Linked DNA regions of Macaca mulatta. The protein of the gene in region 2 interacts with the protein of the main gene of each other region in a pairwise test. Links are inferred from orthologs where the notes say so. Each region holds a gene or a part of one and is shown on either strand. Other genes may lie near its edges.

Region 1 (5,000 bases), on a different chromosome or scaffold from region 2:
TCCAGGGATAATGACAAATACTTGCTCAGATTTTACCATATGCCAGGCAATGTTGTAAGTGCTTCACTTGAATTAACACCTAACAACAACCCTGTAATGAAACAGAAGCACTGGGACATTACATAACTTAGCCATGCTCATACTCTGGTTTGAGGAGCAAGGATTCAAATCCAGATGTCTTACTTCAGAGCCTACTAGACTAGGTACTTTGGAAAACAGAAAAGCTCGAGAAAATATTTCTCTAACCATGACAGCTGGCAGATTGGTTAAGAAAGTGAGATTACATATAACAGCAGCCTGAGAAAACCACACATGACCCAGTAAAATCAAGTGCTTTTGTGGTAGATTATGATTTCTACTGATAGCACATGAAAGAAAATATGAATTGTAACAGCCAGAGAAGGATGGGTCTCAGAGCAGATTAGTGAGGAGAACAGAGATCAACATAAAAATAGATAAGGCATTGCATACTTCAGCCTTTTTGGAGCAGAGGGTTTATGTCACATAGAAGGCCGGAAAACACTGAGTCAATTTGCAGAAAGGAGTAACAGTAGAAACCACAATAGCTAATGCTTACTGTATTCTGACCAGGAGGCACTCTGCTAAACCCTTTATATGGATTATCTCATTTCATCCTCATACAACCTCAAGAAGTAGATAGGTCCCTTTACCATATAGATTTTACGGAACAGGAAAAACTTAAACAGGTTAAATAACTTGTCCAAGATCACAAAGCTAGTAAGCAGTGGAAATGGAAAACTTACTCCAAACCCAACATTTTTTTTTCTTTTGAGACATAGTCTCACTCCATCACCCAAGATGGAGTGCAGTGGTCCATAAATGACTCACTGCAACCTCCACCTCCTGGGCTCAACTGATTCTCCCACCTCAGCCTCCCAAGTAGCTGGGACTACAGGAATGCACTACCACGCCCACCTTGATTTTTGTATTTTTAGCAGAGGTGAGGTTTTGCCATGTTGGCCAGTCGGGTCTCGAACTCCTGGGCTCAAGCTGTCTGCCCACCTTGGCCTTCCATAGTGCTGGGATCAAATTCAACTTTTTTTTCTTTTCTTTTCTTTTTTTCTGGGACAGTCTCACTCTTTCCAGGCTGGAGTGCAATGGCATGATCTTGGCTCACTGCAACCTCTACTTTCTGGGTTCAAGTGATCCTTGTGCCTCAGCCTCCCCAGGAGCTGGGATTAAAGGCTTGCACCAACACAGCTAATTTTTGTATTTAGTAGAGTCAGGGTTTCACCATGTTGGCCAGACTGGTCTTGAACTCCTGACCTCAGGTGATCCGCCTACCTCCACCTCCCAAACTGCTGGGATTACAGGTGTGAGCCACATGCCTGGCGCCAAACCCAAATTTTTTCTGTTTTTTTTTTTTTTTTTTGAGACAGAGCCTCGCTCTGTCATCCAGGCTGGAGTGCAGTGGTGTGATTTCTGCTCACTGCAATCTCCACCTCCCGGGTTCAAGCGATTCCCATGCCTCAGCCACCTGAGTAGCTGGGACTACGGGTCTGCACCACCACACCCAGCTAATTTTTGTATTTTTAGTAGAGCCGGGGTTTCCATCATGTTGGCCAGGCTGGTCTTGAACCCCTGACCTCAAGTGATCTGCCTGCCTCGGTCTCCCAAAGTACTCTGATTACAGGCGTGAGGCGTGAGTTATTGGCGCCCAGCCCTCAAACCCATTTTTTTTTTCTTTGAGGCGGAGATCCCCTCTTGTTGCCCTGGCTGGAGTGCAATGGCGCAATCTCGGCTCACTGCAACCTCTGCCTCCTGGGTTCAAGCAATTCTCCTGCCTCAGCCTCCTGAGTAGCTGGGATTACAGGTATGCGCCACTAGACCCGGCTAATTTTGTATTTTTAGTAGAGACGGGGTTTCACCATGTTGGCCAGGCTGGTCTCAAACTCCTCACCTCGTGATCCGCCTGCCTCGGCCTCCCAGAGTGCTGTGATTGCAGGCGTAAGCCACCGTGCCTGGCCAAACCCAACTTTTACTCTACCACGCTACAGGACATTAAATTGTTAAGCATGGGATGTGATGGATACAGTGTTTCAGTAAAGTTAACCTGTAAAAAGGCTGTAGGAAGATATGCTAGATTACATTTTGGGGTAATTCAGATATGAATGAGGGAAACTTGGGGCCAAAATGACAGAAATATGAATGGAGGAAATGAAACGAGTCATTGCTTAACTTGCACCTTACCTTGCACTTTGTAAGTTCATAAATTTAATAAGATAAACTTCAGTAAAGTCTTCTGCTGGGTATTCATCTAGCGCATTGTACTGTTCAATTGCACCATATAAAGCGAATCGCTCAACTAATTCCTTCATGACTCCCACAGCAGGAACTCCTTGTATTAATAAGTACTGAGATTCCAAATTGATTGTATATACCTGAAAGAAATGCATAGTTATTAAACGTATTTCGCAAATAAGCCTAGGACGAATCTGCCTCTATTTTTTTTTTTAAACAGAACTTTGAAAACAAGAAATAATCTGTTCAACCCAGTCAGCAAAAAACACAAAATAAAATTTCTGCCATTCCCTCTGCATAAAGAGTAACAGTCCATGTGAGAGGCTACCTAAGGCATATAACAGACTACCTTCAGTCGACATTTTTTTCCAGAAATTGAGTCGGCAGAAGTCACTGGGAACAATCACTCAACGAATATTCACTGAGCGCTTACCTGTGCCAAGTAGTACTGTAAACACTGAAGATCCAATGACTAAAACCAAGCCCTATTCTCGTGGAGTTGATGTTCTAATAGTTGACCAAAAGGGTCGTGAGAATCTTTGGTACCTGGCCCAGGGTTCTTCACGCCAGCTCTAATGAGCGACAGATCTGACGGAAGCCTTGTCGTGCCTTTATTTCCGTAGGTTAGCCATATGGCGCTAGCGCTCACAAAAAGCTACCGAGGAGAGCGAATGAAACCAAAAATCACTTTACCTTGACAGCACGAGGCCGTCGTCCCTCCCGATATTTGGCCCGCGTGTCGCACACCGCCCTCTGGACGTGGTGGTCAAATAAACTCCCTAACTCCCCACCGCTGGACGCCATCTTGCCTACTTTGATCCTCGCAGGGAGGACAACATCCGCCCTGCTGACCTCCCTTTTATCCAATAAGAGAGCGGGATGAGTTAAGGAGTGTCAGGATTGGCTGAAGAATCGACAGCGTCGGCCATCGTTTCCTGCGTGCGAGGATTTGATGAACGAGGTGCCGCCCCCGAGCGGCTTGGCGGAGAGGCGCGGTGGGTGACAGAAGCTTTCTTGTCCCACCCCACTACAGGCTTACGGCGAGACGCGCAGCGGGGAGAGGGGGCGGGGCCTCAGGGGGCGGGGCCGATCGATCTCCTCCGGTTCCGACGTCCTCGGCCTGCCAGGTCCCGTGTCCTTTGCGGCGCTAGGGTGGGCAAACCCAGAGCGACGCTTCGGGACGATGTGGGGCAGCGATCGCCTGGCGGGTGCTGGGGGAGGCGGGGCGGCAGTGACTGTGGCCTTCACCAACGCTCGCGACTGCTTCCTCCACCTGCCGCGGGGTCTCGTGGCCCAGCTGCACCTGCTGCAGGTAACGTGCTGGCCCCGGGCCACCTGATCTTCAGCCTGGGGTCGGACAAGGCCGAAGCCTCTCAGGGACGCGGCGGGACACCGGCTGCCACCCGGGCGCCCCCGAAGCGTACAGAGATTAGGGTCCCTCGACGGCAGGGCCCTTCTGGTTAGTCTCTGCATCCCGCAAGTCCAGTGCAGCCCTGGGCTCGTCTTATCCCAGGTCTTTTCACTTGGTGAAACTGGGCCTAGAAATGTCCTAATATTCTACCACTGTTTTTATAAATATTCCTCATTCCAGGCTGGAAAAGTTCCTGATAAGTGGTTTGTTTTTGTTATTTTAAAAGGTGCTTTTCTTGCCAGTCATTTCCAGTTACCTGCGCTGCTGCCGTCCGGGCCGCGAGAGGGAGGCGCAGAGTTGTTGGTGGAGCCCCTGTCGGTCCCCGGGGACTGAGCACCGCGTCCCATGAGCGGGAAAGCTTAATACAGTAATGGTTCTGCCCTGCGTCCCAGACCCTCGGAACACAGCTGTAGTGTGTCAGGAACACATAACGTAGTTAAGATCACTTGAAGCTCTGCGATCAGTCGCCCTTCTGGACGTTGTGGTTGGGATGTTTCGCAGTTCTAACCACCGGTGGAGATACAGCGTCCTTATTTTCGTAATTAAAAATAGAGGCACATGGTCTCACGAGTTTGAGTGTGGTTATGGGGGCAAAAGGACGGCGTATTTGAAATCTTCATAAATCCTGGATGCATGGTACCCACCAGTGGCTAATCTATGTAATGAATAAAGAGTTTGCAATAATTTCAAGCATCCCTTCTTTCCACTTGAGTTACTTCTCCATACCTAGGGGAAGATTTTTTTGGTCCATTGAAAACATGAGTTCAGCAGAATCCTCCTATCATCGTCGTTATTATTTTTTACTACTAAGTAGACAATCTTGGTTTTTGATGGGCTTTATGGTTAGAGACAAATCAGTCACTGTCACCAAGTTCCAGGTAGAAGTTGGTTCAGTGCTCTGTCAGCTTCGATGGGATTTTTCAACATGTTTTCAAATCCACTCATGATAGTAGGAATGCTTTCTTACAGTAACTCTAATTTGATCCTAAGATGTAGTTGTTACCTTACATTCATCACTGTTTAAGAATTTAGTGGTCTTGATCTTTGTTTTAAATTTTGAGCCTTCGAGAAGTATTTATAAGAATTAATTCATGTTACCTTACATTCGTCACTATTTAAGAATTTAGTGGTCTTGATCTTGTTTTAAATTTTGAGCCTTCAAGAAGTACTTATAGGAACTAATTCATGCATATCTTTTTGAAATGTAAATGTCTTTAGCCCTGGAACAAATTGCTGTTTCTGTTCAGCCCATATTAGCAGAATAGGTCAACTTTGCTTTCTAATTATCAATGTAATAAGTTTATGACTTTATAGATTCTATAAATCT
Region 2 (4,342 bases):
GGGTATCCACCCCCTCAAGCATTTATCCTTTGTGTTACAAACAATCCAATTATACTCTTTTAGTTATTTTAAAATTTACAATTAAGTGATTACTGACTATAATCACCCTATTGTGCTATCAAATAGTAGCTAAACACTTCTGGTCCCAAGCTCTCAGACAGGGAATACTCAACCTGTATAAATATACTTCATATATACTTTGAACCAGTCCAGTTTTCAGCCCATGCATGCCCCCACTTTCATAAGTACCTAGCACCTTCAGTTCCTCAGTCATTCTGGTACTCTGCAGTGTTGGATTCTGCCTGCCTGTCTGTTGGACTAAGGTTTCTGCCAAGTTAGTTATAATTTGCCCATCTGTTTTCCAGTTTCCAAAAATTTTGCTTTTGTGAGTCTCTCATTTTGCACTCCCTCAATCCTACTGCACTTACATCTTTGTACCAGACATTACATAAATGGAAGTCCAAGCACAGTAAATGTTTAAGAGTTATAATACATTTTTAGAAATACTAGAAAGACAAACCAATAGGTCAAAAGTAGGAGAATTACAGGTGACTTTAGTTTTGTTTCTCCTTTGCTTTTCTGTGTTTGCCAAGCTTTTTGCACAGAGAATGTATGAGTTTTGTAAAGGGGGCAGGCGGCAACTGCATGTTAAAGAAGAAAACAAACATTGAAAACAACTTACAGTCTCAAAATCCTCAGTATCTATGCATTTGGCCCCAAGTCTTTACATGCAGGCATTACAATGATTTTTTAAAAGTAGAATAATTTGGGCAAAGTCTAAAAAATATGTGAAAAAAGTGAAAACACAGGCGTCTTTCTCTTTTCAAAATTCCATAGAGGCCTACTCTTGAACAAAACTACCTGCATTCAAACCTCTAGCTCTACAACACACTAGCTATATAACAAGAAGTAATTTAAACTTAATAATATCTGCTTCCTAGAGTTGTGGTGGTGATTAAAGGAATTAGCACATGTAAAGCACTTAGAACAGTGTCTAGCACAGTAATACTTAAATGTCAGTTTTTATCATTGCTGTGACACAGTTTAACATTTTAAAAATTGAAGTAAGTGTAAGTTCAACTTGTAAAAAAAATCAACATTGTACTAACATTCTGGGGTTTAAGTTGTATTTATTGAAAACTCAATATTCCAAAATAAACATCCTTTTTACAAGACATTAAAAGCCAAATTAACTATTAAGTTGATGGTATGCAAAGTTAGGTTAAACAGAAAAATACCTCTGTCATTAAGCGTTTTAGTCCTTCAACTTCATCTTCTCCTGGGTTAAGTTCACCACCAGGTCTGTATAAAAGTTAAGAATTTCAGCTTTCAACTTAATGCAATTTGGAGATAACAAAGAACACAATAAATGTTATGTCTATCAAGTCACTAAGTAACATATTTCAGTGTAATAAGGCAATCAAAACAAGTATCAAAGTGAAGGGGGAGAATATGCTTGAATTCATGTCAATTCCCCAGACTAACAGTATACAAACCCTAGGTTTTTTTCCTCTTTGTATATATTTATTTTTATTTTATTGTCGATTCAAGGGGTACATGTACAAGTTTATTACATAGGTATATTGTGTAATGCTAAGGTTTAGGCTTCTAGTGAACCAATCACCAAAACAGTGAACATAACATCTAACAGGAAGTATTTCAACTCTCGCCTCTCCCTCCCGCTCCCCACCTTTGGAGTATACAGTGTTCATTTTTTCCAACTTTATGTCCATATGTACCCATCACATAAACCCTAGTTTTAAACCAACAGAATACATAACATAGCACAAACATAAACAAAATTGCTAACCACCAGTCCATCCCAATCTCGTCTCTGGAAGCTATCTGATGATAATGGAGTCTAGAAATGCCCAGAGAGGAATGGATCATATTCTTTAGGCCTAAACAATGGGACACTTTTTCAAGAGCGCCATCTAAGTATTGGAGACCTTTCTTTTTGGTATAATCTAGTCAAATAGTTGTGGATCAAATGTTTGAGAGATGCAGGAGCTTAAATGACAAAAAAATAAACTGTTATCCACAAAAACCTAAGTCATCTTAAGAATAGGAAATGCAAATCATACCAAGAAAGAAATACCAATTGTTCTTGGTGATGCTACAATGACATCTAGACATTGATCTTGAACTCAACTATTCCACAGGGTTTCTACCAAGCTCAATCACTAACATCGACAACATATAGAAACACGCAGATTACTAGTTAGGAAAATAAACGAGCACCGCAATGGAGAAAAATTACTCGTGATTTTCTCTTTTTAAAGACATCATTAACAGCAGTGTTTGTTGAAATAAATGACCGAGGGCTAAAATTGTAGTCCACAGCTGCATAAACAGCAATCCTACTAAAAACTGTCTTGCTGTTAATTTCCAACACTACTTACAGTTTGAAGAAAGTTGTTCCCAGCTGTAGCAGTAACACATGGGGTAGCCGGTGCTCATGTACAATCAGAACCCCTTCTACAGTCCTCCTCATTCCAATTTTATCAAATTCTTCCCTCATGCGCTGAAATCTGGCTGCCACAGAGCTGTCCTTCTCATAGAGGGGCTCTTTTGTACCAAAAGTATAATTGGTAAGAGGGTACCTGTGATCCAAAGACAAACATCTAACATGAGAACTGAAGAATATAATTTACCATGACAGACATTAGCATAAAGAAACCACAGTACAAAAAAAAAGTGCATATGTTGTACTCAGAGACACAGGATTTGTACAGTTACATAACTAAAGTTAATGAGACAGTAGAGATTGGAATCTTGTTCTCTGGACTCTTAAAGCCAGAGCTTCCGGCCGGGCGCGGTGGCTCAAGCCTGTAATCCCAGCACTTTGGGAGGCCGAGACGGGCGGATCACGAGGTCAGGAGATCGAGACCATCCTGGCTAACACGGTGAAACCCCGTCTCTACTAAAAAAAAAATACAAAAAACTAGCCGGGCGAAGTGGCGGGCGCCTGTAGTCCCAGCTACTTGGGAGGCTGAGACAGGAGAATGGCGTGAACCCGGGAGGCGGAGCTTGCAGTGAGCTGAGATCCCGCCACTGCACTCCAGCCTGGGCGGTGGCTCAAGCCTGTAATCCCAGCACTTTGGGAGGCCGAGGCGGGCGGATCACAAGGTCAGGAGATCGAGACCACAGTGAAACCCCGTCTCTACTAAAAATACAAAAAATTAGCCGGGCGCGGTGGCGGGCGCCTGTAGTCCTAGCTACTCAGGAGGCTGAGGCAGGAGAATGGCGTGAACCCAGGAGGCGGAGCTTGCAGTGAGCCGAGATCGCGCCACTGCACTCCAGCCTGGGCAACAGCGTGAGACTCCGTCTCAAAAAAAAAAAAAAAAAAAAAAGCCAGAGCTTCCATGAGATCAAGCTACTCCTCCATACTTTAACTTTCAAGTGTAGATAACACTATCCTTAAATGCTTAGAGAAATGGTTATCTGAACATTAGTAATCTGGTTTTAGACCATGGCTGCTATTCCAACAAGACCAATTTGGCTAATAATTAATGTCCCCCTGCATTCCTCTGACTACTAATCTAATCAGAAAGTTTTAATTATGGGTGCTAATGGCTAATCTCTTTTTTCTAAAACTAAGCCACCACTTTTCATCAACATCCCTCCAGTTATTTTCTATTTCTCTCAGTCAACTATCCTCAGATTTTTCTTGCACCACAGCCTTTCCTTTTCACAGCAACTCTTCTACTTTCTCTTTCTGTCCTCTAACCCTATTTACTAGCCTTGGGCATTTATTCTATTCAGTCTCCTTATTGTTTCCTTCTCCTCATCTGAATCTTCTACCCACCCCTTTACCAAGAATTTAAAATATGGCTCAAACTGTTAAAGACAGTTTTCATCTTGCCTAATAAGGATCAAATTTTTCTTTAAAGATACTTAAAAATTCCATACTTATATGTCGTACGCCCTTAATTAAAGCCTTACAGCAAGAAGCCTTTGAGTAAGAATTTACGCCACATTTGCCCACCTATAGTATCTATTCTACCAAAAGCCCTTGACATTAATAGTCAACATTATTGCATCTACTACACTCAGCCATTCTTGAAAGGGGGAAAAAATCAAGGTTGCCAAAACTTTAAAAATTACTTTAAGGCCGGGCGCAGTGGCTCAAGCCTGTAATCCCAGCACTTTGGGAGGCCAAGACGGGCGGATCACGAGTTCAGGAGATCGAGACCATCCTGGCTAACACGGTGAAACCCCGTCTCTACTAAAATACAAAAAAAAAAAATTAGCCGGGCGAGGTGGCGGGCGCCTGTACTCCCAGCTACTCGGGAGGCTGAGGCAGGAGAATGGCGTGAACCCGGGAGGCGGGGCTTGCAGT
Region 3 (4,839 bases), on a different chromosome or scaffold from region 2:
GGCAGAAATCATCACCACCTCACCTTCTTCCCCTTTACCCTGTTCAGGAAAGAGAGCAGAACCGAACCGAGGGCCCAGAGAGCAAGTTTATTTGGTGAATGCTGACGGCAAACATCATCCAAGAGACAAGATGGGAAAGGTGCTGAGACAAGAGAGCCTAGGGAAACTTCAGGCTAGATACAAAATTCACACAGGGAAAGGCACGGAGTCGGGAGACTGGGAGGGTCCTCAGCCATTCAGCACCATGCGGACGAGCTCTGTGGAAAGGAAAGGTGGAATGAGCCAGGGAACAGGGCTGTGGAGGGGTACACCAAGGGCCAGGGGACTACAAGACTGCAAAGGTAGCATAAGAGGGAACATGCCCACAGCAACCAACCCTGGGGTCAGTTTGCAGAGGAGCCACCTTGAGTCTGACCAGTTCTCCCTGCCCCTAGCTCCCCTCCCACCAGCTGTTAGTGCCCCTCCCCACCCTGAGCAGCAAGAACACAGCAGAGGCAGAAAAGTTCTCAACTACACCTACAGCTACTGTCAGCCACTGGCGGGAGGAGAGGACAAGAGTTTTGGGTTAGGGTACCTCCAAGCTGCCCAGCGAGGGAAGGGGAAAGGACTGTTCAGCTATAGCAGCAGAATGGGGCAGGCAACCCATACCCCTCTATGCCAGCTACCCATGCTCCAGGGCCAGAAGGTCACCCTAAAGCAAGACTGGTATACAGGCTGGTGAGAGTTCCCAGACACCAGCACCCAGGGCCCTATAAGTAAAACCTCAAGGCCCATTCTAGAAGTAAAGAGGTACCTTACCCCCAGGCTGTATTCCTCTATGAGGAATCCCTCCCCTCCCTAGTCAGCTCCATGCAGAAACATGCCAGGAGGAAGTCAGATGGTAGTAGGGTAAGGGCAGGGGATAAAGAGCACAGGTTGAGGAAAAAAGAAACACTGGGGAGATCAACTAGGGGAGAGGCTGGGAGGAGCCGTACCCGCCCCATGGGCCCGTCACCCCGACAGGATATGCCTCACAAACGCTGCAGGAAGGAAGAGACATTCATGGTGAAGACAAGACACAGACATGGGGTGAGGGGTCAGGCGGTGGGGACAGACATTCCATTATTTCACTTCTCATTCCTTCCCACCCTCTACAATACTACTCCTTCCTTTCCTGTTACACCCCCCTGACCTCCCACTCCTGGGCTGGGCTGGGCAGGGCCCTGCACCTTGCCTCCTGGCTCTTTTTGGAGCCCACGTCCAGGGATAGGGAAAGCCCCAAACACTATACTTGACCTGCCCCATGTGGCTGCGAAAGCGCAGTTCACCCCTTACCTTCATAGTTGATACAACCATTGCTGTCCTCGTGCCCTGCCACCAGCATCTCTACTTCTTCCTCTGTCATCTTCTCACCTGCAGGGGGAAAGAGAGCATCTTTGGAATTGGGAGACAAGTGAGGTATTCAGGGTGGCATCTCAGCTCAAGGACAAGGACACAGAACCTTACCCAGTGTGACAAGAACATGCCGGATTTCAGCACCCATGACAGTGCCATTTCCTTCCTTGTCAAACACCCGAAGTCCTTCGACATAATCCTCATAGGTGCCCTGGTCCTTGTTCTTGGCCACTGTCTGCAGCATGGGCAGAAAGTGCTCAAAGTCCAGCACCTTCACGTTCATCTCTGCCATAAAGGAGGTGGAAGTGTCAGGCCAGAGAAGTAACACAAGTTCTCAGGACGGGGGATAATAGAGACCTCAACTGAACAGAGAGATGACTCCCTCCTAAGCAGGGAAATCCATGGGATTTGCTAATCCAGACTTTTGAGTTTGGGGCCTATGAAGATAAAGGGAAGCTCTTAGCTGAAGAACTGTGGGCCCATGACCACACTGAGTTGTTGTTCTTGAGGCCCCTCACCATCACTCTTGGGGTTCCCCAGGACCTTGAGCACCTCGGCGTTGGTAGGGTTCTGGCCCAGGGCCCTCATCACGTCCCCACACTGGCTGTACAGGATCTTGCCATCACCTGTTCGGTCAAACAGCTGGAAGGCCTCCTTGAACTCTGAGGATTCAGATGAATGTCAACACAGGATTTGAGGGTTAACCCAAACCCTACCTCAGAGCCTGCTGCCCATTCAACTTTGATCATGCTGAGGAAACCAGATATCTGCACCAAACTGTACACCGAAGTGTACTTAAGAGGGATCTATTTATCTTCCTCCCAACTCAGGTGTCCTATATAGAGCCTTCCTCCCCCTCTGGCAGCCTGGTAACATCCATTTACACATCCCCCTCTGCCTGCGGCAGACCTGCCAATCTCCACTGCTGCTACTACACTTCTCAGGGCAGGAATTCGCCACCGCCCAGTCTCAGTCCTGTCCTTATAAGGAAGTGAGAGCAGCAGCCTGGGACCAGGGTCATCCCAACCTGCCACTTTGCACCCCTCCAGTACAAAGAGAACTTCCAGAGGGTAGAGCTACAGTCATATCCTTAGCAAACTCCCCTGTCCTGTCCCCATCTGCACAGAATATCAAGTCACTGCTCTACAGTCTTCACAACTGCAAGCTGGGAGGTCAGGGGCAGTTATCACAGGAGGAGAAAAAAGACAGAAGTAGCTGATTAAGGGACAAAGGAGAGCAGGCAGCTTTATACACCCTCCCCAGACCCCACAAACAGCAGGCATTAGGTGACCAAGTTTTTTCACATACCCACACCACCTAAAACTCACCCAGTGCTTGGGACTCAGATCTAGAGTGGAAGGGGAGGGAGGAAGAAAGTGAGAAAAGAAAATGGAGGATCCAAAAGAAGAGAAAATAATCCAGGGGGTAACCTCATAGGGGTGCTAAAGAGATGACAGATTAAGATTAGAGGATAGGTGCTGGGGGGCGGGTGTCCCTCTCCCTAAGGGTGACCTCGGTAGGGATCAGAGATAACCTACCTGCGGTCTGGTCTTCGGTGAAGTCACACTGCTCAGAGAAGAGGGAAGTGGTCAGCATCTGAACGCCAATCCCCCGAGTTTCTATCCCAGCCCCACAAACTCCTGTTTCAGGCTGCAGACTCGCTTCCCCGCAGGATAGGGCCCCAGGCTTTCCAACCCCACCTCCAACCTTTCGGGTCCTCAGGTTCCCTTTGCCTCCTACCCCTGCCTTCTCCTCGCCCCCCCACCCGTCTCTTCCCACCTCTCGCCCCCAATCCTGCCCATCTCCCAGGACCTGGGCCCCACCATCTTGACTGCTCAGCTCTGCGGGACCTTTTCCTGCAGTAATGGCTCCGACTCTCGGCCCAACCCTAGTCTTAGTACGTCCCAATGACGTCACCCTCAGCGGACTCAGCCAATAGGAACCGTGACCTGGGTTTATGCAGATAATTGCTACATTAGTAATGACGTGGGCGGGGCCCGCTGTTCGTTTCTCCAGCCCTACCTGGGCACAGAACCGCTCGGGGATGGGAGTGGGGGGGGCGTGGGGCACAATTAATCTGCGCCTCCCAACAACAGGAACATTAGAGGACTGGAAGAGGAGAGAGCCTTCTTTTCCCGCCCTCTCCTCCTAGCACCCTCCCCGTCTCCCCTTGCTCCCCCAACCATGAAAAAAATAGTCTGAAACGAAGAGAGGAACCCAGTCTTTATTTTGAAACAATAGGTGGCCTCCTGGTGGCTGGAACGTGCTTCCGCCCGCGGGGCCCAGTGTCCGGACCCCACTGGATCTGTGGAAAAAAACGAAAGTTGCCAAGCGCTGGAGCCCGCGCAGCAACCGGACAGCAGAACGAACTCCGCTGCTTTTCTATGCTGGCTGAGAAGCGCGGGAGACTTGCCTCTTAAGGCGCGGTGAAGGGGTGGGAAGGCCCTACCTGTAGCACTCAGACGCTTAGGATGTGTTTCAAGAAGGCTGCAAAGAGAGGAGGCAAGAGGGGCTTCAGAAGCAGGCCTCTGGATAATACATCTGACTCTAGATAATTCAGGGGTGCCCCCACCCACACGCGGCAAGACGCCGGGCTCCCCTCCTCCCCCGGCCCCGCTCCTGCTTTTTTGGCCCCTCACCCTCGTAGTTGATGCAGCCGTTGCTGTCCTCATGTCCTGCCAGAACAGTCTCCACCTCCTCCTCAGTCATCTTCTCTCCTGAATCCCAGACACAACGTCTGAGTCCCTGCTTTCCCTCCTTCACTCACCCAGGCAATGCTTTTTTCCGAGACGTTGTTTCGCTCCTGTCACCCAGGCTGGAGTGCAGTGGAGCAGTCTCGGCTCACTGCAACCTCCGCCTCCCGTGTTTAAGCGATTCTCCTGCCTCAGCCTCCCGAGTAGCTGGGACTACAGGTTCACCGCTAATTTTTTGTATTTCTGGTAGAGATGAGTTTTCACCATGTTGGGCAGGCTGCTCTCAAACTCTTGACCTCAGGTCATACACTTGCTTCAGCCTCCCAAAGTGCTGGGATTACAGGCATGAGCCACTGCCCCTGGCTTTTTCCATATATTTTTGTAAACAATAATATGAACATAACAATTGTAATTTTTTTTTTTTTTTTTAGATAGGGTCTCCCTCTGTCACCCAGCTGGAATGCAGTGACATCATCATGGCTCACTGCAACTTCCACCTCCTGGGCTCCAGTGATTCACATCAGCTTTCGAAGTAGCTGGGACTACAAGTGTACACCACCACGCCTAGCTAATTTTTTTATTTTTTTGTAGAGACATGGTTTTGCCATGTTGCTCAGGCTGGTCTCAAACTCCTGAGCTCAAATGATCTGCCCACTTCTGCCTCCCAAAATGCTGAGATTACAGGTGTGAGCCACCACGCCTGGCCTTGTAATTTTTTTTTTTTTAAATAGAGAATCTCACTATGTTGCCCAGGCTGGTCTCGAACTCCTGG

Evidence for each region.
Region 1: the proteins of NUDT21 (region 2) and RBM48 interact in a two-hybrid assay, tested with the Homo sapiens proteins (2 studies listed by BioGRID and IntAct). The link is inferred for Macaca mulatta from reciprocal best matches to the Homo sapiens genes NUDT21 and RBM48.
Region 3: the proteins of NUDT21 (region 2) and MYL6 interact in binary tests that used the Homo sapiens proteins (3 or more experiments, as listed by UniProt). The two-hybrid records come from large-scale screens. The link is inferred for Macaca mulatta from reciprocal best matches to the Homo sapiens genes NUDT21 and MYL6.

Annotation. Positions count from the first base shown.
Region 1 is NC_133408.1:126,862,548-126,867,547, forward strand, and holds the start of RBM48 (RNA-binding protein 48), read right to left. Parts: upstream 3,097-5,000; 5' UTR 3,067-3,096; coding exon 2,956-3,066; intron 2,403-2,955; coding exon 2,212-2,402; intron 1-2,211. Other genes in the region: peroxisomal ATPase PEX1, read left to right, coding at 3,446-3,574. UniProt on the Homo sapiens protein: As a component of the minor spliceosome, involved in the splicing of U12-type introns in pre-mRNAs.
Region 2 is NC_133425.1:52,003,867-52,008,208, forward strand, and holds part of NUDT21 (cleavage and polyadenylation specificity factor subunit 5), read right to left. Parts: intron 2,604-4,342; coding exon 2,403-2,603; intron 1,303-2,402; coding exon 1,239-1,302; intron 1-1,238. UniProt on the Homo sapiens protein: Component of the cleavage factor Im (CFIm) complex that functions as an activator of the pre-mRNA 3'-end cleavage and polyadenylation processing required for the maturation of pre-mRNA into functional mRNAs.
Region 3 is NC_133416.1:63,309,438-63,314,276, reverse strand, and holds MYL6 (myosin light polypeptide 6), read right to left. Parts: upstream 3,244-4,839; 5' UTR 3,201-3,243; coding exon 3,198-3,200; intron 2,941-3,197; coding exon 2,913-2,940; intron 2,037-2,912; coding exon 1,893-2,036; intron 1,660-1,892; coding exon 1,486-1,659; intron 1,393-1,485; coding exon 1,315-1,392; intron 1,020-1,314; coding exon 991-1,019; 3' UTR 975-990; intron 258-974; coding exon of another isoform or gene 229-257; 3' UTR 109-228; downstream 1-108. UniProt on the Homo sapiens protein: Regulatory light chain of myosin. Does not bind calcium.